Notamacropus eugenii: one gene and its partners. The protein of the gene in region 4 purifies or fractionates together with the protein of the main gene of each other region. This does not show direct contact. Links are inferred from orthologs where the notes say so. Each region holds a gene or a part of one and is shown on either strand. Other genes may lie near its edges. The genes, in order: GID8, ARMC8, ZMYND19 and MKLN1.

Region 1 (6,888 bases), on a different chromosome or scaffold from region 4:
AATATTGTTTTTTAAAGTTTTATTTCTATGTAATCATACTGCATCAGTGATGAAGAAAAGGTATTTTGAATGCTGTTCCAAAGTCAAGATTGCACACTTTTAGTATTGTACATCTGAAGCTACTATGTATTTATTTCCTGGGTATATGTCTCCATTTTTCTCCCCCCTCCCACCTTACCAAATATAATATAAGCAGTGTGAGATAAACTGTTTCATTTTAGTCTTTTCACTCCCAGTGCCTACCACATAATTGATGCTTAGTAAGTACTTGGTGAACTGAAATGTTTCTCTATTCAATTTCTAAAGTGTAATCACACAATAAGTGTCATATTTTAAAAATACAATTAACATCAGGATCCATGGAAACTTGGGAAAATTGCAAAAACCAGGGAAAGTTTTTTAAGAATGAAACAGATTTGAATCATTTTAGGGGAAATACGCTTTCTCTTTGTGTGATAAGTATGAACTGTTGACAATGTAAGTAACCATTATAAAATTAAAAAAAAATAATGAATCAGTATGCTAGTCTGCCCCTGTTCAGAGAACTGAACTGGGGACAACAACAAATGGCTTTCAAATAAGGAAGTGATTACAAGTAGCATTTGACATAAAATCAATTTGATTTTTTCTACAGCTTTGATTTCATCTACATATGAAAACTCTAGATTGCCTATACTGAGGCAACCAGTCTGTAACTTATAGGCTTAGAAAGCAAAAATTAGGCACAGAGAGAGGGTAAGTGACTTATCCATGAGAAGACCAGTAGTATCTGTCTGAAGCAGGTCCTACTAAATCCAAAGCTGGCCACCTTTCCATATGGATGCTGCCCATTTACCCAGGACCGTAATAAAAACCTAAAATTTCGCTACTAAGTGATAAAGTTCTGCTTTTGTATAAGAAAAACCAAAGATAATTTTCAAGAATTTATGAAATGTTATTCTCCAAATTACCTGTAACAAGATAGTTCATAATAAGGCGGTTCATATCAGCTCTCTGTATATGTAAGTTATTGAGTTTTTCCATCCACTCATCTTTAGTGATTTCATCGGGTTTTTCTGTGTAACTCATTCTGAACTATTTCTAAAAGTAAAAAAAAAAAAATTAAAAAATTTAGTCACGAGTAATATGTATAAACTGTTTTTTTTTAAAAAGTGTAATCTCACATGCATAGGAATAACATATTATTCATTTACAGTCAGATTAATAAAAGCTCTTATTACAAACAAATGTTAATTCTCCTGGCGAAAACTAAAAGTACCTCAAATTTATGACCTTCATTGTGCAGGAGGAAATTTTTTAAAATTTCTGAAATTTATTCTACTTTCTTCAGTGTTATGCAACAGTAATAGTTGAACACAAAAGGACTAAATTAGGATCTAAAAATTTATAAATTCAAACTGGATTTTTTCCAAACATTTTGTAACTGCAGTATGTTTTTTACATTTTAGACACCAATTTGCATACTTAGATGCCTGGGAATTTTTACATCACAGATTCTTTTAAAAAATATTTTAAAATGTAAGTTCCATTTTTCAGAGATCCAAGATCAACGTTTTAAAATTAAAACATTAAATTGCTATTATGGTAACCATAATTTATGAGTAAATATTGCATTTGAAACTTAGGTATCATCTCTGTTCTGAACAAAGAAATTCCAGTGGAGACATCATCTGAATTGTAACTACTGTACAACACAACTTTCCCACAAAAAAAAATATTCAAATTCACACCTAAACATTTCCCAGCTACTTTAAGAGTTGCCCAACCAAAGGCATTATCCCTAAGTAAAAAAGCAACTACAAGAATCACAAACCCAATATTGAACCAAAAACCTAAAGCTCAACTAGCTGGTACAAAAGTGGTGAAAAACAAATAATTTCCTGGCCACCTTTCCTCGGCAATATTTACCCATCATCTTCTAACTAAGTTAAATGCCTACACGTCCTGTCAACCTAGGAGACAGTGGGCTTCTTAAGGGGTAAGAAGACAGTTTTACCTAAACTGCATGTATTTCCTCCAAGCAGAGTTTCTGATATAACATTTTAAAGCTCATTACAAAGCTTTCCTCACAACACCTCTGTGAGTACAATTCTCAACGCTCCCATTTCACAGACGAAGAAACTAAGATTTAGTCACTAATCAAGATCAGACAGTAAAATCGCACAGGACCATAGATTGAGAGCTAGAAAGGATCTAAGGGGCATCTAATCAAACTCCTCCCCCGAAGAAACTAAGAAGGAAACTGACTTGCCCAAGGTCATATAGATACAAAGTTGCAGACCCAAGATGCTAACCCAGGTCCTTCGACTCCAAATCCGGAAAATTCAAGTCTCCTGCGTCTTCGAGTGCAATTTTTTACACCAATAGCCCACGCCACCTTTTCAAAGATACAAGATAAAAACGGGGACTCTCCCACCCCTTCTGGACTGGGTTTTTCCCCACCGTAAATATCAACACACAGAACACAGGAGGCTGCCTTACTTCGCTCCAGAGGCGCCTCCACGACATGCAGACTTCCTACCAGCAGGCGCCACTACCTTCGCAGCCATCGAGACCAAGCAGGATCTGAGTGCAGCCGATAAGACTGCCCGGCCCGCCCGCTGCCGCTTCTCTTCGCTGCCCTCCTTCCTCCTCCTTCTTTCCATTTCAACTGCAAGGCCGGAGGCCCCGCCAGGCCCAGACCAGGCGCTCTCCCGAGATCAAAACAAATTGCGTCCCTCAGCCCCGGCCCCGCCCACCGCGGAGGGGAGCGTCGGACTCTGGGAGCCCGAGGGCGGGAGGGATGGAGGGAGGCTGAGAGGAGGCCACCCTCGGGCCCGGCTTCCTGGGCCCCCCGCGGCCCCCTCCCCGCCGACGCCATCTTACCGTGAGGATCCCGCCTCCTTGGCTGCGCGGTCTCGGCAAGGGCCCCTTCTCCGAGGCCGATTCGAGGGAGGGGGTCGGGGAAGGGGGAGGGGGAGAGAGGTGGCGGCAGAAGCGCCTGAGGAGAAGGAGGCGGAGGCCGCAAAGGAGGGAAGATGGGCCACCCGCCCCCTCCCGCTCAACGATCTCTCGCGAGAGTTCCTAATTGACAGCCAATAAAATCTTCCCGTGAAGGGATGGGGGAGGGAAGGACACCGGAAAGACAAAATCGTCGCTTCCGCCTTTACGTAGAAACTTTTTCTTTCTGCCCCATTTCCAACTCTCTGCCAGCATTTCCCCAGAGGATGTATGGGAAGAGACGAGAGCCAATCAGAGGACATCTCCAGAGGCCAAAATGGACTCTTTAGGTGAGCGTCGCGTGATGATTGCGTCACTCAGTTGTCTGAGTGTGGAACATCCTGGGGCCGCTAACTCCTCCCACTAAGGCTGTTGGTGAAATTGTTGGTTCAGATCTCGGAGCTGGCGAGTAGGTTGGACTTGGGTTTGTGGCACAAAATGTTGAGCCGAGGAGCGAGTGGGAAACCAGCGGATGTGGATTAATATCCCACAGGTCTGCTCGGCCGAAGAACGGGACACGGTAGTAGGACTATGTTAAGGATCAGTGTGCCTTCTTTAGGGTTCAGTCCAAATTGGTCAATAACTGGATTACAACCGAGTGGACAAGCCCCCCGCTTTTGTTTGGTGGGGGAGATGGGAGAAGGGTAGTTTCGTTCTTCTTCACAGCTCACGAATTGGTTCAACTCTTGGACAGAAGCTTCCTTCAAATTTTGTTTAAATACCGATGCGAGGTCTAGTCTGACCTTCCCCTCCCGTCCTTCCCTTCCAAGTAGTTAGTTATCGACTTAGAACTTTAACCTCTCTCTTTCCTCTCCTCTCCGCCACCCCCACCCCCACCCCCCATCCCTCCAAACGAGAACATCTAGATGGTTGGATCTGATGTTTCTTTGTATCTTCTGTTGGAGCACTTGGCTCTTAAATACTCAAATAGCTCTGTTAACCCATTGGCTGAGAAGTTCCTTCCAATAGTATGGATTGAAACGCATCCATGTCTGTCCACCCACAAGACTTCCAGAGGTAGTTGAGACCTTCCTACCATTCTCGCTTCTGAAAATGGGAGGGTACCAGTGAAACACTGATTGTTCATGTGTCCTTAGCTCTTTCTTACCATGTAACCTAACCTGTTTTTCTGCAATACGATACCTTGATACCATTTTTTACTCCAGAATTAATTTAGAGTTTCACCTTCTTCTCACACCATCCAACCAGACTGTCCTAGTTACTGGTCCCAAGGACATTCCCATCTCCTGCCTTTGCATTGGCAGTCCCCCAAGCCTGGGACTCACTTTTTACATTCCCTCTCTGCAGTTTAGAATCTCCTAGCTTTTATCAAAACTCACCACAACTAATACCTCTATGCAGCCTTTCCTGATCAATCCAGCTACCATTTTGTATGCCTACATTGGGTTCCCCCTGTTCCATTTTTTTTTTATCTTTGTATCCCCAACACTGTATCAAAAACATGGTAGGAGCTTAATATTTTATTGATTTATACAGAATATATAACTTAGATGTCATTCTTGACTACTCACTTCCACTCACTCCATACCCAATCCGTTGCCAAGGACTGTCAATTTTACCTTTGCAACGTCTCTCATATATGCCCCCTTCTCTCCTAAACTGCCAACACCACCCTGCTACTGGCCCTCATCTCCTCAGGCCTGGCCTAATGGGTCTGCCTGCCACAGCTTTTTTCCCCACTCCAGTTTATGCTCCATTCAGCTGCCAAAATGATTTTCCAAAAGCACAGATCCAACCAAGTCACACGTATGGCATTTAAAAAGGTCTGAGAGATATAATTTCTTGAGTAATTTAATCATTTTGTTAATACTGTCCACATATTTATTAAAAGAGGGTAGTCATTTGGCCCCCTCTCTTAGACCAAAGACCACTCATGGTGGTGGGTTCACAGCTTATATGCTCTTAGAAAAGTAAGTGTTCCTGACTAAGGCAATAAACTCTGATTGATTAAAAATTAATGAGAAAATGTGTATTACAATGAGGGTCTTTGGTTTACCCAAATCTTGGTCAAAGAAACTTATCAATTTCCATATCCTGTCTGATAAAAGGAGAATCAACACTTCCCCAGACCTGTCTGAGTAAAAACAATAAGCAGGAATGCACCCATTAACCTAAACTTACAGTTTCTTTTACTGTCTGATTATATCTTGGCCTGGGTAAATCTTTGAGAGAGAGATTTTCCACACTGGTTAATTTCTGGATGAGGAAGTAGAAAGGGGGAAAAACCTTGGTTCTGATTGAATAACTAATTATTAATGCAAGAGAGAAATAATTACTTCTCCCACACATCTCTCCCTACCCCCAACTCAGTAAATTCTAATGGTTCCCAATACCTTCAAAATGAAATACAAAATTCTCTGGCATTCAAAGCCATTCATAACCTAACTACTCCCCCACCTTTCCATCCACACAATAAATAAAATAATTGTTTATGGTCTCTTTATGTTTTTTAAATGCTCTAATCTCTTTTTCCTCTTCTTAAATCACATCTTCACTTGACTTTCCATTCATCCTTCCCCTATTAAAAACAACTTTTTGACAAGTAAGCAGACTCAAATGAAACAATGCCACATAATGGCCCTGGTTAAAAATACATATTTCATTATGCATCTAGAGTCTATCATCTGTGTCCAGCATTGGACACCACGCTTCATCTTCTGACTTCTGTAGTCATGGTTGGTATTGATCAGAGAGTTCTTAAGGCTCATAAATTTTTTCCTTTTTGACATGTTCACTGTATAATTGTTCTGCTTCTGTTTATTTCACTTTGTATCAGTTCAGTACCATTTCTTTTGCCATTTCTTGGCAGCAATAATGTACTCTATTACATTAGTATATTAAGAAGTATTGAAGCAAAATGACTAGAAAATTGGCCTCATTCACAAAGACCTGGTTTCTTGCTCCAACTCTAACAGAGCTTAAGTAACCTTGGGCAAATAACTTAATTTCCTAGTACTCTAAGCAGCTCTAAGTCTCTACCTAGTAGAGAAGGTCATAACCTGCATCAATAGAGGAGTTTCCTTTACCTAGAAGTTCCCTCTACCAAGAAAATCACAGGTTCAGTTCCTATCTTTCATATACATATTTTGTTCAACCACTTATTTTATTCCCTTGTTTTCCAGTTCTTTGCTACGTTAAAATGTGTCTATGAATGACTTTGTAAATAGATCCATTTTCTTTCCCTTTGATCACTTTGGGTCATAAGCTTACTAAGTGGTATCAGTGTATCAAACATGATACTCAATTCTTCTGAAGCCGTTGTATAAGCTACTGCCATATAGTGACATTGTTAATATGTTAACTTTCTTGAAAAGATGGGCCTTTTCATTGGAAGGGAGAAGAAAGAAAATAAGCTTTTACACAGTACCTACTATGTGCTGAGCCCTTTTGGGGGCTTTTTCCACCATTGGTGTTCACCTGTTCCACCCAACTCTCACTTGTGGCTTCAAAAAGCTGCAACATGTGCAGTGGCCACACCTCGGCAAACTGTTTTGGTGACAGGCCAAAGCAGGTTGAGGGTAACCAAGGGGTCTCAAACCCATTAGTGAGTTAGGGGTGTGTCTATCTCAAGCATGTGAAGACTTCCTCTGATGGAATGAGTAGATGAGAACAATTTGTTCCAATGGCCATGAAGGCAGCTGAAGCAGGTTAGACATGGAAGATGCCAAGATTATCCACTGCAGCCTGAGCCATCACCAGCTGTCTTGACTCTGTCCTGCCACTGGACTATGGTGGCACTGGAGGAGAGAGTGAGGCTGATGACTTTGTGCAACTCTGCCTCACTTAAATCGAATTTACTCATGAATCAAAAGACATCACCCATACCCTGTGGTAGAGCATTCCGAGCTCATATTGGTCTGATCAGCCACAGTCGGACACACTGAAACT
Region 2 (7,728 bases), on a different chromosome or scaffold from region 4:
TTATTATTCTAAGTGGGAAGTAATAAATGCTATACTAAGTCATAGCTGTGGGGAAAACCAGGAATAATAGCAGCTTACATATATCTATATGAGAGGCATCAGTGGATATAGTGGATAGAGCAGGCCTTGAACCAGGAAGACTGGGTTCAAGTCCTGTTTCTACAGCTACTGGTTATGTAACCCTAGGAAAGTTACTCAAACTTTTGGTACTTTTAGACAATTCTCTAAGACTAAGTTGCAGAGAAGATGCTGAGCTACCTTGGGGATACAAATGTAAAGAATGAAGTAATCAATGAATGCTTTCAAGGCATTTACATTCTAACATAATTTCATCTCCTATATAAATAAAATCACAGGTCCAATCCCTATCTTTATATTTATGTAGTACTCTGTCAATATGTTTAATCTGAGGTTATGGCAGAACTCCCCGGTGTATATGTCCAGCAAGAAGCTAGAGATGTAAGACTGCAGCTCAGAAAAATCCTCAGGTTGTAGGGACAGAGAATTGTCGCCTGTAGAGAAAGTAATAATTAAAGCCAATGGAACAGATAAATTCTCTAAAAGAGAAAGTATAGGGGAGAGTTTTCAGGCTGAATGAAATATAGATGAAGTAGTGGATAGAACACCAGGCTTAGAGTGAGAAGAAAGTTCAAATGTGACCTTAGACAGGAACTAGTGTGAGCCTGGGCAAGTCATTTAACCTGTTTCACTCAGTGTCCACATCTCTAAAATAGAGATAACAATAGCATCTCACAGGATTGTTGGGAAGATCAAATCAGATAGTACTCCTGAAGCATTCTGCAAAGCCTAAAGCGCTAAATAAATACTAGCTAGGATGATCATGATCATGATAACTCTTGTTAATAGGATCCTAAGTTTTGGATTGGAAAGAGCCTTAAAGTTTATCTAATCAAATCCCCTCATTTTTCAGATGTGGAAACTGAAGTCCAGAGAGTTAGGTAACTTGTCCAAAATCAAACAGGTAGCAAGCGGCGGAGCCAAATCCAACTTTCTCTCCGATGAAATGCTTGTTGAGCTATCTTCTGATTAACAGTTCAGTTTCCCAGCTACCTCAATACTACAAAAGAAATCACCAGAATAGTGTACATCAAGTTTTCAGTCATGTAAAAAATGTGTCAGCAAATTTAATAAAATGGTATCCTGGATCAAATCATCCCTCTGTTTGGACAATACAAGCAAGTTATCTCAAACACCAAACAACTCACGGTGAAATGAAGTTCTGGACCTACAGAACTGTGAAACCATATCTCAAACTGTGGCAACTCCACAAGCAGGCTGCATCTCCTGAGATAAGAGCTAAACATCCACTTTGCCCTATCCAACAACGATTATCACAACATGAATTAGGAGGCAGCCCCTGAAGACCGAAGAAGGTGGCTTCAGAACAAAATAAAAAATTACTTTTCACTGCAGGTAAATACTTAAAACTTAGAGAGATGCATGGTTGATAGCACTAAAGAAGTTTATTTAGAAGTTAGGAATGTTCATGGTACTCTACTGACCTGTAAACTGCATTGGGGCAGAGGCCATGCCGAATCTACACTCTATAAGTAACCTCTAGCACAGAACTATGCTTACAATAGTTGCCTAATAAATATTTATTGAACTGCTGAATCTATAAGGATGTGGCTGCTAAAAGAAAACTATCATTATACTCCAAAAAATATTTTTTGGCGTCATTGTCAGAGACAGAACAATGGCCTGATCTGATCAGGATGAGAACACTTGTTCTTAGACCTTTGTGTTGAGTTTGATAAGTAAGGTATATAAAATTTATTAAGATGGACTTAGGACAGTGTCATGGACAGCTGAGGGTAAACTTTTACTTAAAACTGTAATACTTGCATTGTCAATACACTATATTACATCTAGAATAGATAAGAAGAGGTCCCCTTTCTCTAGTTCTGAGGTGTTTTGTTCAAAATCCTCCCCAAATACGGTATCCGTTAAGGAAATGGGGATGTAGTTAATTTAAAACCACAGAGTCAAAGGGGCCTCACAAATAAGTCATCTGCTCAAAACCCAAAGCATTAAAAAGGGCACAGAGAGGAGGAAAGAAAAGCATAGGAATAAAGAAATGGGAGGGTCTCTTGGGTCAAAAAAAGGAATCTGCTCCAATTCCCCACCCCACATAGAAATGCTTTCTAAAACACCTCTTAACAGCCAAGCGGCCATCCAGTCTCCGTTTGAACAGCTACCTTAATAAGTTGGCCGCTTCGCCAGTCCTATATCCAACTACTTTTGGACAGCTCCAATTGTAAGGGCTGCAAAATTTCCACCACTGGTCCTGAAATTCCGACCTCTCTCCAGCAAAACCGATCGGTATCCTCCCCTCTAAGTGACAGCCTTCCAAGCGCTGGAAGGCCAGGCTTACAAGGGTGCCCTCTCCCCGAGCTGGTGAACGTCTGGTCACCCCCTTTTTATTCTTTGAACTCCCTCCAAGGAGTTGATCTGTCGTTACCCCGGGCGGCTCCAACAGAGAAATGACCCCATGGACAGCTCCAGATAAAGGAGGTCGGACAACAAACACTTTCACCGGACTTGCAGCATGAGCCCCCCTCCTCCCAACTCAGCCGCAAGCGACTCCCGCACGTACCCGGATACCAGGCTTGGCCCCCTTGAAAGTCGCGGGGTCCCCAGCTAGGAACCCCGAGCCCGGCAGGCTGCCCCAGCTCCTCCCCTCCCTTGCAGCCCCTCCGGGGCTCGTCAGGGAGCCGGAGGGAGGGGGCCGCCCCACTCTCCCGGCAGGGAGACGAGCCATCAGTCTCCCTCCGCAGCCAGGTCTCGGGGTGGACAGATCTCCAGGCGGCCCCGCCGGCGCCGGGGGCTCCGGGTCCCCCGGAGGGCCCCGCTGCCTGAGGCTGATCTCCGACTCCCAAGTCCCCGCAGCGAGCGCTCCCCAGACACCTCCCCGGAGCCCGGCCGGCTGAGGAGGGAGGGCCGCCCTGCGGGGGACGGGACGGGAACCACGGAAGTCGTTGGAGAACGTGGCCGCGTGCGGAAGGCGGCGGAGCGGCCCCCTCCCTCCACCCCCACCCCGGGCAGCCGCCGCGGGTCACTCACCGAGAGGACGCTCATGCGGATTGGGGTCTCCAGCAGACACGCCATCTTGATCCTTCCCACCGGGTTGGGGTAAGGCCGGGGATGGCTTCGGCACTTTCGACGGCGCCTTCCCTCCGCCGCTGCCAATACCTATCCCTGGTGGAGAGGCTGGCGAGGGAAAGGTGCGCGCTGCTTCAGGCGCGGCCGTGGCTCCGGGAAGGACTGTTAATAAGGAAAGGAAAAAGAAAGAGGAACGTTCTAACGAATCGGCTGTTGGGAAATAGGCATCAATCTTAGTTGAGGGGATTGAGACGGAGGGGAGGGGCGGTGTTCAGCAGTTGACGCATGCGCCTGGTGGGAATGGCTCCCGTGCCCACCCTCCACCTGGGCGGGGCAAGGTCTTTGCGCACTGAGTGAGGGCCCTCTAGAGGATGAGAGTTAATGAAGTGTTTTTCATGTTCTCTTAAGAGAAAACTTTTCTTGGGTTTGGAACTGTCAGGCACCTTGTCCAACCTTCTTATTTTATAAGTGACGAAATCGATGTTCACAGAGATTGAGACTGGTTCAAGGTCACACGGATAGTAACGTAAAATAGGGGTCCCGTCATGGGCTCCTTGAATCCCGCTCTGGACCCTTTCCTGTAGGTGTGTAGCCGTTGGAGCGCTTCTCAAAACCCTACAGAGGGGGAGACGGAGACAGGTGAAGTGACTGAGCCAAGGTCGCCTCGTTATTTTGGTATCTGACCCCTAAGACTAATGCCAGGTATTCAAAGTGAAGATGAACATTGAGATAATTATATAATTCAGAACAAGTTATATAATTCAGAAGAAAAAAAGTCAAACAAGTAAGGATTTAACCTTAGAATGGTATATGAAATACACTAAAACCCAAAGACTCCAGCTTCTGAGATAAGAACTCCCTATTTGACAACAGCTGCTGGGAAAACTAAAAAATAGTAGAAAGCAGAAACTAGGCACAGATCAATATTTCACACTTACCAAAATAAGGTCAAAATGGGTACTTCTTTTACACATAAAGGATGATACCATAATCAAATTAGGAGAGCTAGAAGTAGTTTAGCTATATGATCTATGAAGAAGGGAAAAATTTATAACCAAACAAGAGATAGAGAACGTTATGAAATGCTAAATGTATAATTTTGATTACAGCAAGTTAAAAAAAGGCTTTGCACAAACAAAGCCAATGCAGCCAAAATTATAAGGAAAGCAGAAAACTGGAGGGGGAATAAAATTTGGCAGCAAGTTTTTTGATAAAGGCTTCATAAATATGAAGAAAACTGAGTCAAATTTATGAGAATGCAAGTCATTTCTTGACTGACAAATGGTCAAAGGATATGAATAGGCAATTGTCAGATGAAGAAATCAAAGCTATCTGTAGTTATATAAAAATGCTCTAAATCACTATTGACTAGAGAAATGCAAAATAACTCTGAGATACCACTTGACACCTATCAGATTGGCTAATATGACAGAAAAGAAAAATTATAAATGGTGGAAAAGATGTGGAAAAATTGGAACTGATGCATTGTTGGTAGAGTTGCAAACTGTTTCAACCATTCTGGGGAGAAATTTGAAACTATGCCCAAAGGGCAATCAAACTGTGTACCATTTGATCCAGCAATAATACCCTTATGATATCCCAAAGATATAAAAAAAAAGAGGAGAAAGAACCTACATGTACAAAAATATTCTTAGTGGCTCTTTTTGTGGTGACAAAGAATTGAAAATTTAAGGGAATACCCATCAGTTGGGGAATGGCTGAACAAGTTGTGGTATATGATTGTAATGGAATACTATTGTGCTATAAGAAATGACATGCAGAAAAACCTGGAAAGACTTACATGAACTGATGCTGAGTGAAGTGAGCTGAACAAGGAAAACATTGTACACAGTAACAGGAACATTGTGCAGTGATCTTCTATAATAGACTTAGCTCTTCTCAGCAACATGATGATCCAAGAATTCCAAAAGATTAATGATGGAAAATGCTATCCAAATCCAGAGAAAGAACTCTGGACTCTGAATACAGATCAAAGCATACTATTTTCACCTTTTTTTGTTTGCTTTCATTTTTTTTCCCCTTTTGTTCTGATTCTTTTTTCACTTCATGGCTAATGTGGAAATATGTTTCAATGATTCCACATCTGTAACCTATATCATATTGCTTACTCTCTTGGGAAGGGGGAGGTAAGGGACAGAGGGAGAGAAATTTAGAACTCAAAATCTTATAAAAATGAATGTTGAAAACTATTATTACATGTAATTGGAAAAAAAATACATTTTACAAAAAAGTAAAAAGCTAAAAAGGTTAAAACAGGAAACTGCACTAAGACTTATGGTACATCTTATAGAGTGGAAAGTATACTGGACTTGGAGTAAGGAATTCCTTGATCTACCAGATAGATACTTGGGGATGATCATGTCCCATTCCATGCTTACAACCTGTACATTTGAGTGCTTTGATTTTCATTTCACGGTGGAAATAACAGATCTAAACCAAAAACAAACAAAAAACCCAAAAGACCCAAAGTAGAGAACTGGCTAAATAATCAGTAGACACCCTTGATCAATCATGGTATAAAAGGAAATAAAGTGAATTCAATCTCTTAAAATCTTTTACTGGTGATTTTATTTTTACAATTAAATTTTATACATGAATTTTGTCAGTCATTTTGAAGTAACCCACTACTTTTCCTCTACATTCAAATTTCCCTGTGATAAAGAATTGCAATTTAAGCAAAAACTGTCCGGTGTAGCAACCACATACTTTGTTTTATATACCTTTGATGAGGAATCTAGAAAAGTTGCTATTTCTAAATTATCCCTTTAAATGAAGAGATTGGAGGAACTGAATCAAAGAATAGTAAATGGATACAATCTTCTAAATCAGAGCCACAAATTTGAAGTGGTTATATTATAGGATTTAATATCTGAAAGGTTTAGAATAATAGATGAAATTGTGGACCTTTTGACCAAAATTATGATCTATTTAACTTCAACCTGTTATTTCAAATAGTCAATGGGCTAAAACTTATGTCCATTCATAAATATGACATTTTGTAAGAATAGCATAACTACAAATAGCTATGACAAACATTTATAAGAAGAGGCAGGACCTGAGAACTTCAAACTAATGCAACTTACTTTCCGACCAAGCAACTGACAGAGCTATAGTAGAAAGCATGGCATTGAACACAAGTATAAGAAACTATTAAAGGAAATATTTTCAGGGACCTTCAGTACTTCTATGGATCTATGATTTCATTGATATGGGTATGTACTCACTCTTTGGATCACAGCACATCCAAGATTTCTCAGTCTGTGTGAGTTTTGTCCATTCTTCTGATGGTTTAAATTTTTTTAAAATTTGTTTTAATCAGCCAAAATCTGTCTTTTCACCCTCTTGCCCTATCTGCCCTACCTCAATTGAGCACATGAGAGAAACAAAATGCAGTATGCAAATGTGTAGTAACCCAAACAAATTTCCACATTGACCATGTCTTCCTCCTTCCCCGCAGTGGTCTCATTTCTCATTCTGAGTCACCTCTTCATTAGGACATAGGGACCACATTTCATCATTAGTCCTCTGGATTCCTGGATGGTCATTATGCTGATAAGAATACTGTACTAATATTCCATCACATTTATATTCCAGAATGTTCATCCATTCTGCAGTTTATCCCTCAGATAATTCCTCAGCTTTCCATTCCTTCCACTTCAAAAGAGCTGTAAATATATTTGTACATCCTTAGAGTTCGGTTTTGTTTTTTTTTTTTTGGCTTAAGACTAATCCCTCCCTAAACTGGCCCTCCCTCTAATTCTCTCTCCTCCATTTTCTCATTTTCCTATTTTCCAGTTGAATAAAACATATTCTTCTATCCAAATCTCTTTATGTGTGTGTGTGTGTGTGTGTGTGTGTGTGTTCTTCCCTCCTTTGACCAGTTCAGATGAAAGTAAGGATCAAATATCAACTAGTCACCTACCTCATCCCCTCCTCTTGTATAAATGTCTATTTGTGCACCCTTTATTATTTGAAATAAATTTCCCTGATCTTCCTATTCTTCCCCACCCCCCATAGTGTATCTATCCCTCTTCCTCCTTTCCATTTTTTAAAAATATCAACAAGATATAACAGAATTATTCCCAGACCTTGTTTAATTGAATTCCTTCTAAGAGTCCCAACTCTTCCATAATGATAGGGATCAAAGAGGACTTATATCATAACTCTATATTTTAATATGAGTAGTTTATCCTCATTTAATCCTTTATCATTTTTCATTCATGTTTACCTTTTTTATATTTCTCTTTACTTCTGTGTTTAAACTTCAAAGTTTCTCTGTAGTTCTGGACTTTTCATCAGGAATTCTTGGAAGTTCTCTATTTCTTTAAAAGTCCATTTGTTCCCCTGTAGCATTATACTCAGTTTTCCTGGGTAAATTAATCTTGTGTCTTCTTATTCTCCTACCCTAACCTCATATAAGGAGAGGACATGACCCTAGGGCATTGTGAAGTCTTTCAGTTCCATTGGAAATGATGAGATAGCTATCCTGGGCACCTTTCTAAAATGAAGGATCTGGGAGGAGTTCTCTATGTCCACTTTCTACCCTTCCCATAGAGAGGTTTAGGGCTACTGAAGTGGTGTTAA
Region 3 (7,623 bases), on a different chromosome or scaffold from region 4:
TAAAATATATAAGGAAATATAAATTATATATAATATAAATAAAAATATAAAATCTATAGTCTTTATACAGCTCATGAGTTTCTACTCTGTCTGTGCTTCTTTCCCTTCCTCATTTCAAGGACCAGGACCTCCCTGTCAACACATACACAGATTAAATGGTGAAATACTGTGATCACAAAGTTTCTTGTAAATAAAGTGATTCCAAAAGAAATAGACCAACCACTCCTTTATGGACACAACTACTACCAAACATCTCCTAAACCTCCTCCTGTTTGCTTTATAAAATTTTAGGGTGTGGTACAGGGAATTCTTGTATCTCATGGAAAAGAATAGTGGAAAGGGGTGATTGTACCCCATCTGAGGATCAGAGATTATCAATAGGGGAAATCAGGGGGAGATGGCAAGGAAAATCAGTCTTGCTCTCCCTCCTCCCTCATCAATCACTTAGCTCACTGGCCCTATGGGATTCACAATATCTGGAGGCTCAGAAACTTTGGATCTTCTCTCCTCCTCCTCTTCCTGCTCCTCCTTCCTTTCAGCTCCATCCTTGCTCCAAGATCTGGATCTCTCTCACTGGCCTGGTGTTTGGTAGTCTCCCTCGCTGGCAGCTTGTGCCTCTGGCCACAGCAATAGCAGCATTGGTAGTACCAGCAATTGAAGCCTCAGCTGCCTCATGAAAGCCTAGGCATTTGCATGCAAGGTCAGTGACAGGAAGGACGCCAATCCAAGATGCAGCATCCATACAGCTTGTATCCCTATCCTATCACATGGCACCCTGCCACAGAACCTATTGCTGGATATTTTCTGCTATTCACTCTCTACCCAGGAGAGAAGCAGAGTATCTCACTTCTGGAGTGGTCTCACAAATTGGGTTGAGTCTCCTGTAAAAACTTCCTGAACGCTTGCTTGGGTTCCCATGGAGATTAAAAGGTGATATAGAAATGCTGGCTACAAATGAATAAAAGTGAAGGCTATATTTTACATATATCTACCATATTTTCCCAAAGAGTTTGTGAGCTCCTTGAGAACAAAGACCATGTCTTCTTCCTTCCCACTCCCCACCCCCAGCTCTGAACACAGAGCTTGGCGCATAGTAGCTGCCTAAAAATTCTTGTAAGACTGAATAAAGAAAAACAGAATGGATCTCATAGGGAGAAGGGGCATTGCTTTGTTTATGTCTGTTCATAGAGTGGCACCAAGGGACCAGCTGCTTGATGTCAAATTCTCAAGTATTGGGGGGAGGGATGGAAGCACACAACTTTAGATCCTTGAAATTAGTGCTAGACAAAAAGTGTTGGTTCCATAAGGGCTCTGATCTGAACAAATTTCCATTTGAGTTTGTACTACTCAGGAAAAGTAAGGAGTTCCGAACTGCAGAGGTCAGGCCAAAATAGAGGGCACAGAGTATAGGAAACAACCTTGAATTAACCATGTAAAGCAGAGTTAGAATGTAATGGATTATATGATACCCAGAATCAGTAGGATTTTAAAAAATAGCTTTTATTGATATCTTTTTTTTTTTTACTTAGCTTAGGTTTTCCCCTTCCAGAGAGACCCTTGTGTCTTAAAAAAAAAAAGAAAAAAAGGAAAAGAAAAAAATTCAACTAAACTGATCAATAAGTTGAAAAATTTCAGACTATATGCAATGTTTCATACTCATGGTCCTCCCCTACATACACATATGTGCCTGCGTGCAGCCACGGACAAGGTATCTTCTCATAGTTCTTCTTTGGCCCCAAGCTTGTTCCTTTTAACTTCACAACCTTCATTTTTTATTGTTTGGTGGTAGTTATTCTTTCCATTCAGATGGTTGTAGTCATCGCTTTTATTGTTTTCTGGGATCTGTTTATATCACTTGGTATCAATTCATGAAAGTCTTCTCTGTGCTCATTTCTTATATAGCACAGTAATATTCCATTACGTTGATGGACTACAGATCTTTATCTCTTTTCTCTTTGCCCCCTTTACTTTTACAAGGAATTCCAGTGACAACATTAAGGAATTCATGGGGAAGGCAAAGATCTTTGAGGGAAGCCAAGGGAAGTTCTTTCTTCCTTTCTGGACTTACATTTAGGCCCTAAAGGTGGTGAGCTGGATGCCTGGTGGGAAGGGTGTTGGGGTAAGGAAGTTAAAGGTCACAGTTATTTGGGATCTTGATTTCCTGTAGTATCACAAGGAGGCAGAGCTATAAGTAGAGTGGGATAACTACAGCATTGTCCAAGGAGCTAGATTTAGAGGACCTCAGATTTAGTGGATACTGACAGAATTTACAGTACTTCAGCAGTTAGAAACACCAGAATTTAGCACATAGTTAGTAAGAATTAAAATGGGAAGTTAGCAACGCTGACTTGGGATGAACTCCTTACCATCCTGCTCCCTAACAATTGAAGGCAACCCAGAAGCATAAACACATGTATTAGGATACATAGGATATTCATGGCACATGGTTAACACTTACATAATTAAATAATATAAGGATCCAGAATTTAATCTGTGTTCCTATGGATTATCCACTAATACTAATTACCCACTAATACCCACTATACCCACTAATATTCTGACCCCTCCAGGCCTTAGTAGATGCTTTCATAAGTTGCTATAGTCAAACAAAACATTCCCCATTATCTAATTGCTAGCCTTCTGGTGATGGATTTCGGCAAACTTAGGTAGGAGGATCCTTTGACCCCTGGCAGACTCACAGCCTGGTTCTTACCGGAACTCCAGATTGGCCGGATCTTCCAGAGTATGCACTGATAAAATAGACTTTGGGGACCCAAGGTCAACTCTATACCACAATGAAGCTGGCTGTAGTGGAAATAACAGTGGACTTGGAATTAGGTATGACCTGGGTTAAAAGTATACTTCTGATGCTACTTACTAAGTTATATGGCCTTGGACAAGCTTAAGCTCTTTGAGCTCTTTGAGCTTCTTCAGTCCTTGTGGAGACCAAACGAGATCATGCCTGCAATGCGATTTGCAAAGATTAAAGTGCTGTATAGATGACAGCTCTTATAAATATGTCTGGTAAAGGAAACTTGATGGCTAAGGGGAGCTCTCCTAGGCTGCCTTGGAGAAGCTGGTCTGCTTTCTCTCAGTGTCTACTAGGAGAAACATCTTGGATAGTCTTCAGTTGTGGCTTCCTTTTCTCTGACCACAGGGCCTGTGGTGATTGGCTTGAAAGGTCATTTGCCATGAAAATGTGATAAGAAGGATCCCTTGTGCAGGCTCGAAATGTAGGAAGCTTTCATTTGTGTGCACAAACCCCAAATACCCACCCATCAGGAGCTGCATCAGGCCAAGCTCCAACCCAGAGACAGCCAGCACATCTAACTATCCTGAACCAAGCGTTGCCAATCAGGATCTTGGGTTCGTTGCTCTTAGTTTCTGCACACATCATTGTAGAGGAAGATGTGAAGCACCGCATCCGTGTTAGATGTCCTTCTCCTAGGCACCAGGGTGATGCCAGATTTTTCACAGAAGAGTATATTCTCATTCACCAGGCCACATTTTTAACAGCTGCTGTTACTGACACATAGAAGGGCATGCAGCTCCTGCTGGAGCACCAGGTCTGGAACCAGAACCTGCCTGCCTCAGTTTCCTCATCTGTAAAATGGAGATAAGAACAGTACCTACCTCCCAGGGCTGTACGGAGGATCAGACCAGACAGTGACTGTAAAATGTTTGGCAAGGCGCCTGGCACATAGTCAGCACCCCATAAATGCCAGCTGTTAGGAAGGACTAAACGCGGGGAAACAACTGCCTTTAAACGAATTTAGTGTCAGCGTTCTAACAAAGAAGTGTTGTTTTCCAGTGAAGGGAAATAGTTTTCAGTCCCAAGTCCCCTGCCTCCTCCTCTTTTGGGGCTAGCTAGGCCTGGGCTGGGCGGGGAAGGAAGGGCAGGAGCTTGAGAGAAGCCGCAGGCTTCAACCACGGCCGGGGGCCTGCAGAGGGAGCGGTGCAAAAGGAACCGGAGGCCGGGGGACGAGGGAGGCCAAAGGCTCCCGCGAGCCGGGAGACCCGGCTCTCAGCCTCGGGTGGCGTCCCGATGAATCTCTAAGACCCGGCACTCCCCCTTCTGGGCTAGCTCCCCTCGAAGTAAAATGAGGCGGGGGGCTAGAGGGCCTTGAACGCCCAGGGTGCTCTGAGATGTATAACTCAGACCCTCCCGGACAGGGAGGACCAAGCAAGCGTGCCTGCGGCCCGAGAGACCACATGGACCGAACTCCAGACTCGATGTCTCGGGGACTCTGCGGCCCCTTTAAGGGCACCCACACTGCTCCGCCCCATTCCACCCCTATGGAGATTCTCGGCTGGGTTCGAAGCACAAAGCTTCCCGCGAAAACTACGTCAGAACGGAGCGCGCGCGCGGGAAGCTCCTCCCCCCCACTTCTTTCTCCCCTTTCCCCTTCCTTTGGTCCTCCGCTGACTCCGGTCTCCCCTCCTCCTTTCCCCTCCCCCTTAGTGGACCGGCGCACTCCCTATATTCCTATTGGTCCGTAGAGTCCGGCGGGCGGTGCGGCTCTTGATTGGTCCGAGTGCAGAGGGCTGAGGGGGGTGTGTCCGGCGCGGCGCGGCGCGCGGCGCGGCCCCGCCCCTCCCCTGGCTGTGTGCGCGAGGCGGCTGTGGCGGCGGCGGCGGCGGCGGTGGCGGCGCGTGGCAGGCCCCGGCCGGCGGGCGGGAGGAAGCGGTGGCGGCGGCGGCGGCTGCGACGGCCAGGGCCTTAGCCTCGGCCTCGGCCCCGGCCTGAGGGAGAGAGGGATCGCGGGTGGTGGCGGCTACGAGCGGGAGGCCCTGGCCATGACCGACTTCAAGCTGGGCATCGTGCGGCTCGGCCGAGTGGCCGGGAAGGTGAGCGGCCCGGGGCTGGGAGGGCGAACGGAGCGGGCGGAGGCCGCGGTCGCCATGAGGGCCCGCAGAGAGACGGAGGCCTCTCACGGGGGGCCCCGAGCCGGGGAAGTCCAGCAGCCGAGGCCGCGCTCCAGAGCTCCGAGGCTGCTGATCCCCGCGGGGCCCGCCCACCCACGGCCCGGGAGTGGCCGCCGCCAGGGTGTTCCTCCCTCCCCCCGGTACGGAGCCGCTTGTGTATCCTGGCCAGGCCTCAGCCCCCCGACTTCCAGCGAGGCCCCAGGGCGGCGGGGATGCCCCCCCCACCCCCGGCCACCCGACCCTGGCAGCCCGAGTCCTCCAGCCTCACCGGGGTGTCAGGTGTCAGGCTGTCTGCTCCACTCCCCCCACCCCCGGGCGCTCCGGCTCTTGGCGTGAGCGCTGAGGTCTGTGGTCCAGCGGAGGGCCAGTCCGGGGCGGCTGAAGTTTCGAGGAACGTCCAGGTTCCCGGGCTCCGTGGGATACAGCAGCATAAGTCTGGAGGGGTGTTTAGGTGTGAAGGGTCTGGGGGCGCCCCGGCTCTGGTGCTGCTTGCTTCTTGGGGTAGGTGCGGTCTAACTCCCGCGATCCCGAATGCTTCTGGGGTGCCTGGCTCGCACAAGCCTCCTTGAAGGCTTGTTTTGTTGAAAGAAAGGAAAAAGGTGTTGTGTGCCAGGTTCCAGGGTTTCCTGGCTGGTTCTGTGGAATGATCCCCGTGACCTTTCGCTGCCCGAGCGAAGCCCACTAGGAGGATAAGTGCATTTTTTTTCTACCTGTGCTAAGGTCACTGGATTGAACTAAGGAGTTTGCCTGGGGAAGCCAGTGAGCAACTAGTTACACTGTTGTGTCACACTGGCCTAGAACAGTAGGGGGAGCCTGGGGAATTAGTGCCATGGAGCAGCACCTGAGCCAGATGTAGGTGGCACTTTACCATCATCATCTTCTTCATAGCTAGCATTTCTAGAGTACGTGCTTTAGGGTGAGTAAAATGTCATGTAAAAACAGGCCTCCCCTCACCTCTTATCTACTCTTCTTGCTTTCTCCTTGTTTTCTTCACCTGATTTCTCACTCTGTTTTGTTCCTCTTCCTTTTACATATTTTGTGTATGGATTAAACCACCAGTGGTACCTGTGAACATTTTTGCTCCCTGGTGCCACCAGCACGTTCTAGTTGTTGACTGCCTGGTCTGGTGAAAAAGTCTGGTCCAGGAAAGCCTTGCTGGTGGCTTCCTGGTTGGTTCTCTTGTGGCTAGCTCTTGATAGATGAGAGAGGCAAGTAGAGTAGGGGACAGGCCCCTTAAGCATCGGCGGCAATTGGGAGTAAAGCCATTTCATTTACATGAAGGCTGGAGGTCTGTACACATGAAGAAATTTAATGGGAAGTTTATTTGTCTTGATAAATTTTTCTACTTAAGTTAATCTTTTTGATGCAGAAGAGGAAGATTCTGATAACTATCATTCCAAGACATTTATATTTAGTCTGATGACAGTGCTGATTTTTGGCCTGTGCTATGCAAAACATTTAGTACCGTAGTGAATTCCTTTACTTACTATTATTACCTCCCCTTGTTATTTACTCATCTAATTGAGGGCAGGTGAGTCAAGGTGATTAAAATAACATTTAGTTACCATCTAACTTCAGAGTTTAAATGTGATTCATAACTTCCTATTGCAATTATTTCACTGTTGGTCTTAACCTAGCTTTGTTCATGATAAATGTAATTCTTTACAATGTCTGGTTAATTTTCAGACAAAGTACACGCTGATAGATGAACAAGACATCCCACTGGTGGAGAGTTACTCTTTTGAGGTGAGAATGGTCTGTTCCTGGGGTTGGGTTGTGGTTGGACATTAAGAACCTAGAGAAATTATGAATACATTTTAATATTCTTTCTTCCTGCTCGTACTCTGGGAATGAGATTCCTCTAGATGAATAACTAACGCTAGTTCTGAATCACTTCAAGACCAGAGATGACTAAGTCAGCTAATTTTGATCAATTTTGGTAGTCCCTGACAAGTAGAACTATACTATATCCTATATTCAAATTAGAATTTGTATCAGAAACTTTGGTTTCTTCTTTCATGGCCATGTTTTTAGGAGCAGATGATTTGGGTCCAGTTTTTGTTATCCCCTGTACCACTGACGTCCATGAGGACCAGATGGTTTTTTTCCCAGAATACTAGGGATTAAGCTAACATTTTCAATGGTTTTATTTCTTTTTTCCACCAGTTTGATTTTGAAGTGTTGTTGCAAGATGGATGATTTTAAGTATTTTCCTTGTCCTATCCCAGGCCCGAATGGAAGTAGATGCTGATGGAAATGGTGCTAAAATTTTTGCTTATGCTTTTGACAAAAATCGAGGAAGGGGATCTGGACGTTTACTTCATGAGTTGTTGTGGTGGGTATTGTGTAGAGATCAATATTTCCGTCTTTTATTTGGGGTGTGGCTAGAGTTTGTAGAGTCTGCCACTTATCCATCCAGTCTCCTTAGTCTCCCTGAATAAGTCCTGTGTGATCTCTGATATGTTGGGTGGGGTGTCTGAGAGTAGTTTTAAGAGCACCAGACTGCACTGTGTATTAGACCCATGGTGCTGGAGGGGAAAGGGGAAGTGCTGCTTTTTTTCCCTTTAGAATCTTATGTTCTTCTGCTCAAACTTTGTGTGTAATAGAGAATAATATGGATTACAGAAGTTTCCAAAGACAAGGTGAACATGCTGCCTTGGGTCTTGAGGCACTATCAAGCTTTTCTCATGAAAGTAA
Region 4 (7,847 bases):
TTGTAAATTCATCTTAATTTTTTATTTTAGTAATTTGATTTTTTCTTCTCCTTTATCTGATTAACCAAAGGTTTGTCAACTGTGTTACTCCTTTTGAAGAACCAGAATGTAATTTTATAATTTCTATAGTGTTTTTGGTTTTTTATTTCTAATTTTCAGAGTTTCCTCCTTTGAACTTCTACCATCTTTGTGAGTTTGATGTTTCCCTGGTTTTAAAAATTGCTAGTTCAGCTCATTAATTCTCTCTCTTATTTAACTTTTGAAGTGTATATTTTCATAGTAGAATTTTTTCCTCTGAGTAATGTTTTAGGTATACCTCCAAAAATTTGTTAAAAGGGCTGCTAATTACTGTTCTTTTTAACAGGTTCTAATTGCTTCTTTGGTTTATTCTCTGATCCATTCATACAGGATTCACTGTTAAGTCACTATTTTGGTCTTATCTTTTGCTTCACTATTTCTATTGTATTATGGCATATAGATGCTGTATTTCGCACTTTGACCTTTTTACATTTATTTACTTTCTCTGTGCTCTATTACATGGTCTGTTTTCGTAAATGTACCATCAGGTACTGAATAATATGCATAGTCCATAATATTTCCATTTAGAAGAACCCATGTTTTTCAAATCTAACATTTCTAACATTTTGTTTAGTTTATATCTTCTTCCTTTATCTGTTTTAGATTTATTCAGCTTTAAGAAAACAGTAATGTATCCTATAGTTATTATTACCATCTTTATATTTTTGTAATTCAGTTAACTTTCCTTTATGAATTTAGATGTCCTCCCATTTAGTGCATGTGCTCAATTTTGATAATATTTCATTTTGAAGGGTACCTTTAAGCAGAATATAGTTTTCCTATTTATCTGTCTTAACATTGAGAATTTTTATTTTTGCTTTGTACAAGAGCATGACTGCAACCTCTGCTTTTTTGAAATCATGTCAAATAGTAAATGCTGTTTGAGCCTCACTTTGATTATATAATTTTCATTTTTTAGATTTTTTTGTATGTCAAAAATTGGTGGATTTTGTTTTCTTATCTATTGTTATCCTCTTTTTTTTTTTATTGAATTGTTTAATCCATTTGTATTTAAGGTAATGATTGTTAGGTTTGTGTTTTTCATTTATTTCTTTTGTATTGATTTTTGTTCCTTCCTTTTTTAAGTCAGCTCTTTGTACCTTTGATTAGTTTTGGTGATACTGCTTTGATTCTATTCTATTCCCACAGGCTTGTCATCCTGGCTCATTTACCTGATATCCTAAATTACCTCAGTTTACTTAAGATGTTAATTTTTCTTTCAAAATTGTTAAAAATATTCTTCCACCTCTCACTCAGATAAATATGTATTCCATAATTTTCCTTTCCCCTTCCAACTTCTTAGATTAAGTAGCATTCTTTTGTTGTTCCAAGAAATTTTCACTTGTTTTTTTTCTGTTTTCCTCATTTCAGTATTTATTATGCATTCTATTCTCCCATTCATTGGCTATACCTAGATCTTTACCTGTTATTTCTTTATTCTATTTCCTTCATTAGAAATGGACTTTCTAGAGTCCCAAATTTGATTTTCTTCTCTCCTATTTCTGGAATTGCCTTTATATATCTTATTTACCCTATCCTCCTTACCACCCATTATTCTATATACGTATGTATTAATTTACCTTATTTTTGTTTTGCTTTTGATGGGGTCTTCTGCTGTGTCCTACTCTTGGAGATGACAATTAATAAAGAAGGAAGCACATAGTGACAAGATTCACTTTGGAACCCAAGTCATGAAGCTTAATCCTATATCTGGCCCTTATCATGATCACTCACCACTTTTCAGACCAGATAATTCTATCTCCAAATCTCCTTACCCCTTGCCAACATGGGTGCTGAATTTTATAATATGTTCAAAGCTGTCCATTTTGCCATTTTTTCCCTGAAATTCTGTTCTCTAATTTCCCACTGAATTTCTCTACTAAAAAAACCTGGACCCCTCCTACCATTGCAGTCTTCTTATACCTTACTCCCCATTATGTACTTGGCTTTCTAGTGACACTGACCTTGCTCTTTCTTAAACAGAATTCTTCATATCCTTCCTGCCTAGGAGGCTCTCCCTTCTTATTGCTGTTTTCTAGCTTCCTTCAAGTCCCGGCTAAAATCTTACCTTCTACAAAAGCTTTTCCCCTGTAATACTAGTGCCTTCCCTCTGGGGATTACCTCCAATTTATCATTTATCCATCTTTTTTTGTGTTTAGTTGTTTGCAACTAAATTGTGAACTCCTTAAGTTTAGGGACTGTCTTTCACATTTCTTTGCATCCTCAGTGCTGAGCACATAGTACATAGCAGGCACTTAACAAATGCTTCTCAACTAATATCTTTTCTTTTTAAAGTTTAATTACTCTTATCAAGTACTTTGGAATTCATTTCTGTTGTTTCAAGATCTCTGGGAATTTGCAGAATATTTTTTTCCATTGGGGGATTTATCATTCATTCCCTAGCATAATAACATAGCATGATAGTTCAGTTTTTTTTTTTTGGTAGTTTGTATGCATTTTTTTTCTTTTGCTGTTGATCTACTTCGTATCTAGGCCTGTATCCAGCCTTTTTCTTTCTCTTTCAGTTTTTAAAAAAAAATGTATTTTTAGTAACTTGTCTCTGGCTTCCCTCCTCATTCTTGTCCCTTTGCCCTTCTATTGCTATGGCACAAAATGTCCTCATCGTCTTCTGTTTGGGGAATATGGGAGATTTGTTCCCTGCCCAAAGTAAACTTTCTTAACTCATTTATGAAAATAGTTCAAAATCTTCCTTCCCCCATGGACTTACATTCTTTCAAGTGGCTTCGCAGAATTAGTTCCTTCTGCATCTTGTCATGGGGGTATGTATATGTGTGTGGGGAGAGGGTGTTTCAGGTCGAGCCCCAACTTTTCAGGGACTGGGAAGGCCTGCACAGATGGACCCTGAAACACAAGCTTGTGAGGTTGATTGCACTGGAGCTGGCTAATAGCAGCTTTATGTGTTTTAATTCTCTCATGTAATTTCATGAGGCATTTTCTTCCTCTAGTGTTTGTTACCTTGCTAATTCAACTGTAGTTACTATATATTAAGCACATATTTTGACTTTTTGTAGGTTAAAGTTACATAGGGAAAATAAATTACTGAGTCATCTCATTGAAGAGTCACCTCAAATTACCCACTATTTACCCTCCATGTGGTACTCAGCTTTTCTGTATCATTCTCTACTGTTCTCCTTCAACTGTTCTTTCAGTATCTCTAGGCTGAGATGGAAGATGATGGCCTCATTCATCATTCCAGTTTAGATATAATCTCACTGTTTCAATGTGTAATTAATGACATTTTAACTGAAAAATTTCCTGGGGTAGATTGCATATTATGTCACAATACACAAATGACTCATGTATACATTTACATATTAAATATATTTGTGATTCTTCCAACCATTTCTTGAAGCATGGGATCATTTTAGTGGGGGCTAGATTTCTGATGCTTTCAGTTTTTTGCTCCAGTAAATGAGGAGATGGGGATAAGATCTTCAGAAATGTGGGGAGTAGAAGACGGTTATAGGAGCAATCAAACGTGGGGTAATAAAAACAATCCTGGAGTATCAGGAAGCCTATATTCTACATACTGCCCCTGCTACAGGGCAGCTGTAGGACTTTAGGTAAGTTGCTTAGACCCCACTAGGCTGAAATCCTTTCTACTCTAAGAAATCATCCCTTCCATAGCATTTCACCGTCTATAAACTAAGAGGTTTCTGATCTTTTGGAACATAGCTGGAAGGCACTTTAGAGATCATCTAGTCTATCCTTTTCGTGTGCAGATTAGAAAACGGATATGCACAAGTTAAGTGACTCGTCCAAGGTCACACATACAGTAAGAGGAAGCGAGGTGACTTGAGTCCAGGGCCTTTCTCTCCATCCAGCATAGGGTGCTGGGGCCCCTTCCAGCTCCGCAATGACGTGATTCTAACGATCCTCTCTGAAAAGTTCAGCTTTTGGAGGCCTTGTCTGGAGCCCACTTCTGTCTCTCTTGCCAAGGCTGGCAGCGCGGAGGCCGTTCCGGGCTCTCAATCTCCAGCCTCCTAGGTTTTCCTGACCCGGGCTGGCTGGCCGGGCCCTCCCTGGAGTAAAGCCGGACTCGGACGCCGGCCTTCCCGCGAGCCCAGGGCTACCTGGATCGGCCAGGATCGGGGAGGATCCTTCGGCGGCGCAGGGGGGAGACGGAAGAGGGGCCCGGCGGCCGGGGGGGGTAAGTCCGGGGCCAGAGCGCCATCTCCGGTCCGAGGCAACGCCAAGGGGCCGGGGGCGTCGGGGCTCCGGGGAAGTTACGGACCGCTTCAGTTCAACCCGCGTTCCCCCCATGCCCACCTCGCGCCTGCGCGAAGCTGCGGAAACGGGATCCACGGCCCCCCGGCCCCGGCCCACTCCGCTCCCCAGGTCCCGGCGCCCTACCGGCTGTGCTGTTCAGTTCTAGGCACACGGGCAGACACGTGAGGAGGGGGAAGGGAGGGCGAGCACCCCGTGGGCAGCAGGCCCTCATTCTGCCTCTCTTCCCTTTCCTCAGTCCTTCGCCCCTGTGCCCTCTCCCTGCCGCCGTCCTCTCCCCGTCCCCAAGGTCTCTTTTCCCCAGGTATCAGCCTAAGGAAACACAAGAGTCTCGGTTCCGGGCGGCCTTAGGTAGAGGCGAGGACGGCGTGTCTCTACCTCCACGGGGTCGCCCCGGCTCCAGGCGCACCCGAGGGAAGGATGCTCCGGAAAGCGTCGGATGCCGAGCGCAGACTCGCACCTGGCCGCGGGGGCCCGCCCGCCGCGCCGGATGGGGAGGCGGCCCCTTTAAGAGCAGGCCCCGCCCCTGCCCTCCCGTCCCCTCGGCGCTGCCAGCGTCGGCGGCGGCCGCGGCGGCGGGTTGGGAGCTGACAAGATGGCGGCTGGCGGGGCTGGTGCTGCGGCGCCTGAGAGCCGGCTGCTGCCTTACGCGCTGCACAAGTGGAGCTCCTTCTCCTCCACCTACCTCCCCGAGTGAGTGCGGGGAAGGCCCGGGGGGCAGTGTCCCGACCCCGGAGATGGCGGGGCGGGCGAGGGGCGGGCGGCGGAGAGAGGCCCGGGCCTGCTGCTGGTGCTTGGGCTGCTGCTGCCGCCGCTGCCGCTGGGGGTGTGGGGGGAGGCGGGGAGGGAGGCGCGGCCTTCTCTGCCCCCTGGCCCGGCCGAGCCCGTCCTCGTCTTCCCGCCCCGGCCCTCCTCGTCTAGTCTGGGCGCAGGCATTAGGGCCGCCGCCGCCGCCGCGCTCGGGCCGAGCTGGCGGGGGACACGGCGTGCGGCCCGGGAGGCGCCGGGAGCTGGGGCGGGCGGAAGAAGAAGTCTCTGCGGGGTCGAGGACCGCGGAGCTTCGGGGAACCCCCCGGAGTGGGCGGCGCGTTGTTCCGGGAGAGAAGCTTGGGAGCATGGCCTGTGAAGTTGGGAGGGGGGAAAACTTGGGAGGCCAAGAGCGGGGCGAGTTCAAGTTCTCCAAGGTCCCGGGAGGGGGAGGAGCCCGCCCGGGGGGGGGGTACCCGGCGGTGACTGCGGACGGGTCAGTGCAAAGCGGGCCATCCAGGAGCCCTTGGGAAGCGCCCGGGCCAAAGGCGGCTCCCAGGCCGATAGGAAAGAGGGGGCTCCGTCTCCGGCCCCCAAGCGTCCGGAGCGTGCCCCCGTGCTAATTTCTAGATCTCAGTTACCGCCTGCAGAGGCGGGGGAGGGCTGATTATCCTCCAGGTACAGGGGAAGAAATGGACTCCGTCAGTTTAGGACGTGTGAAAAAAAGGAAAAAATGGAAGAAAGTCTTTCCCCTCTCCCAGTGCTCCCCCATCTTGGCAGAGTTTTTGTTTTAAGACCTCTGTTCCCCCCCAGAGTTTTCCCGTGGGTCTTCGCTGTGCCAGGCAGCATTGTTTTATAAGCAAACCCAAGTGTGGAGTCAAAAGAGATTGGAGTTCAGTGGGTAATAAAATGGAAATAATGTCCATATTTTACCTTGCCTCTCAGGGTTGCAGGGTTGTTGTGAACATCAAACTAATATACCTGTGTAAGCTGTTTTTATGTTCCTAATTTGACTTGGAGCTTTAAACAAGTATGTGATCTGTGTTATATAGGTCATGTCCAATTCTCGCCCCCTCAACCCCGTAGTTTCATAATATTTAGAAATTATACAGCTCTAGTGTGGTCACTAAAAGGGCATCATGAAACTGCGACTAGGACAATTCAGTCCTTTTGACTCCCAGTCCATTACTCTGTCAGACCACAGTTTGACTGGAAATCTTTTGCTTGTCACAGGATCCGGTTCACTGAATGGTGCCAAATGACCTATGGTCAGATTAGTTTTTTGTGTTATATTGACAGCTGCCCCCAAAAACCTCTTTCTCCTCCTGACTTTCCTGTTTTTGCCATTGATGTCACCATTCATATAGTTTTTCATGTTGAAGACTTTACTTGTTACCTTTGACTTTTCTTTTTCCTGTATTTTTTAAATCTGAGATTTCTGTTGATTCCACCTCAGAAACTTTCCCTCAAAGTGAGGTTGAGTGTTACTGTCATGGTCACACAGGTAGTGAGTCTTTGAGGCGGTATCTTGGAAAATACTTATTAGCCTTCCCTCTGCACGTATGACCACTAGCCTCCTTTGGCTCTCATTGCCTCCCCGTGTGGAGTCTTAGGGTAGAATCTTATTTGGTGTCCCCTCCACGAGTCTTGACTCTCTGCAGTCCATTCTTTAGTAGCTGCCTGATTAATCTTTGCAAAGTACTGGTCTGTCATTCACTTGCTCAAGAATCTTCAGTCCCTATTACCTCTAGGATAAAATACACAAAACAAGATGACTCCAGACCACCTTTTTAGGTGTGTTTTATATCATGTGCTTTATATTTCAACCAAATTGATCTACTTGTTATTCACCTAACTTGGTACATCTACCAAGGTTTCCTGTTCCTGCCTTTGCAGAGGTTCGTACTGGAAATTTCTGTGCTGGAAATGCAGTCTTCTTCCTTGATATTTAGAATCTTTAGCTTCTTTAAAGTTTTCTATGGGAAACCATTCCTGAACTCCCTAAGTAGTAAGTGCTTTGTTCTTTCCTCAGATTATCTTTTTTTGTGTTTGTGAGCTGTATCCCAAATAGAAGGTAGGCTCCTTGAGGGCAGGGGTTGTCCATCTCCTCACAGTGCCGCCTCTGTATCATCATGCTCTTCATTTCCATTTGTTTGTCCAGATCTAGTCTATCATTTATATCTCTGTATGACTTTATCTAGTTGCATAGCTCAGTTTTTAAAAAAAAAAATCTTCATTTTTCTCCCTTATGTGTTCTGAGTCAGTTTCAGACTTTTTAATCTGGAAAGCCTTCCTTTTCATTGTTCTCCAGCTCCAGCCAAACTAAAACATGAATGTATGGTGCATTTCCTCATGCTTTTCTCAACGACTGGAATGTTCTCCCTTTCCTATTTTCCGTTGTCAAATTTCTACCTGTTTTTTAAAATACTTGACACTCAAACTCCAGTTTGAGGATGAAGTCAGAAAAGCAGTCTAGCCCTCAGCTGGAGTGGGGACAAGATAATTGGTACATTGCTTCTGCTTTCTTTAGCTTTCTCATTTTTGAAAGGTGTGAGATAAGCTATAGTACCCTATTGAACTGGCAATAAAAGGTAGGGGCTTAAACAGGTGTACCTGGTCCTGCAGTTATTCTTTGAAGTATCATAGTCTAGTTACTACTAGACTACTAGTACTTGAGGTTGGGAGCTGAGACATGGTTGTTGTTGAGCTCTTGAATTGTTATGGGTCATTACTGCTGTATAAAAACTTGGACATGATGTGATTGAGTTCAGTAA

Evidence for each region.
Region 1: the proteins of MKLN1 (region 4) and GID8 purify together in Homo sapiens (affinity purification with mass spectrometry; 4 studies listed by BioGRID and IntAct, with this or other methods). This does not show direct contact. The link is inferred for Notamacropus eugenii from reciprocal best matches to the Homo sapiens genes MKLN1 and GID8.
Region 2: the proteins of MKLN1 (region 4) and ARMC8 purify together in Homo sapiens (affinity purification with mass spectrometry; 4 studies listed by BioGRID and IntAct, with this or other methods). This does not show direct contact. The link is inferred for Notamacropus eugenii from reciprocal best matches to the Homo sapiens genes MKLN1 and ARMC8.
Region 3: the proteins of MKLN1 (region 4) and ZMYND19 purify together in Homo sapiens (affinity purification with mass spectrometry; 3 studies listed by BioGRID and IntAct, with this or other methods). This does not show direct contact. The link is inferred for Notamacropus eugenii from reciprocal best matches to the Homo sapiens genes MKLN1 and ZMYND19.

The regions. Positions count from the first base shown.
Region 1 is NC_092872.1:499,008,478-499,015,365, forward strand, and holds the start of GID8 (glucose-induced degradation protein 8 homolog), read right to left. Parts: upstream 3,005-6,888; 5' UTR 2,866-3,004; intron 2,598-2,865; exon of another isoform or gene 2,482-2,597; intron 1,081-2,481; 5' UTR 1,069-1,080; coding exon 951-1,068; intron 1-950. UniProt on the Homo sapiens protein: Core component of the CTLH E3 ubiquitin-protein ligase complex that selectively accepts ubiquitin from UBE2H and mediates ubiquitination and subsequent proteasomal degradation of the transcription factor HBP1.
Region 2 is NC_092876.1:329,187,943-329,195,670, forward strand, and holds the start of ARMC8 (armadillo repeat-containing protein 8), read right to left. Parts: upstream 3,001-7,728; 5' UTR 2,783-3,000; coding exon 2,618-2,782; intron 1-2,617. UniProt on the Homo sapiens protein: Component of the CTLH E3 ubiquitin-protein ligase complex that selectively accepts ubiquitin from UBE2H and mediates ubiquitination and subsequent proteasomal degradation of the transcription factor HBP1.
Region 3 is NC_092872.1:494,368,448-494,376,070, forward strand, and holds the start of ZMYND19 (zinc finger MYND domain-containing protein 19), read left to right. Parts: upstream 1-4,611; 5' UTR 4,612-4,797; coding exon 4,798-4,848; intron 4,849-6,612; coding exon 6,613-6,672; intron 6,673-7,154; coding exon 7,155-7,261; intron 7,262-7,623. UniProt on the Homo sapiens protein: May be involved as a regulatory molecule in GPR24/MCH-R1 signaling.
Region 4 is NC_092874.1:119,238,864-119,246,710, reverse strand, and holds the start of MKLN1 (muskelin), read left to right. Parts: upstream 1-4,835; 5' UTR 4,836-4,921; coding exon 4,922-5,019; intron 5,020-7,847. UniProt on the Homo sapiens protein: Component of the CTLH E3 ubiquitin-protein ligase complex that selectively accepts ubiquitin from UBE2H and mediates ubiquitination and subsequent proteasomal degradation of the transcription factor HBP1.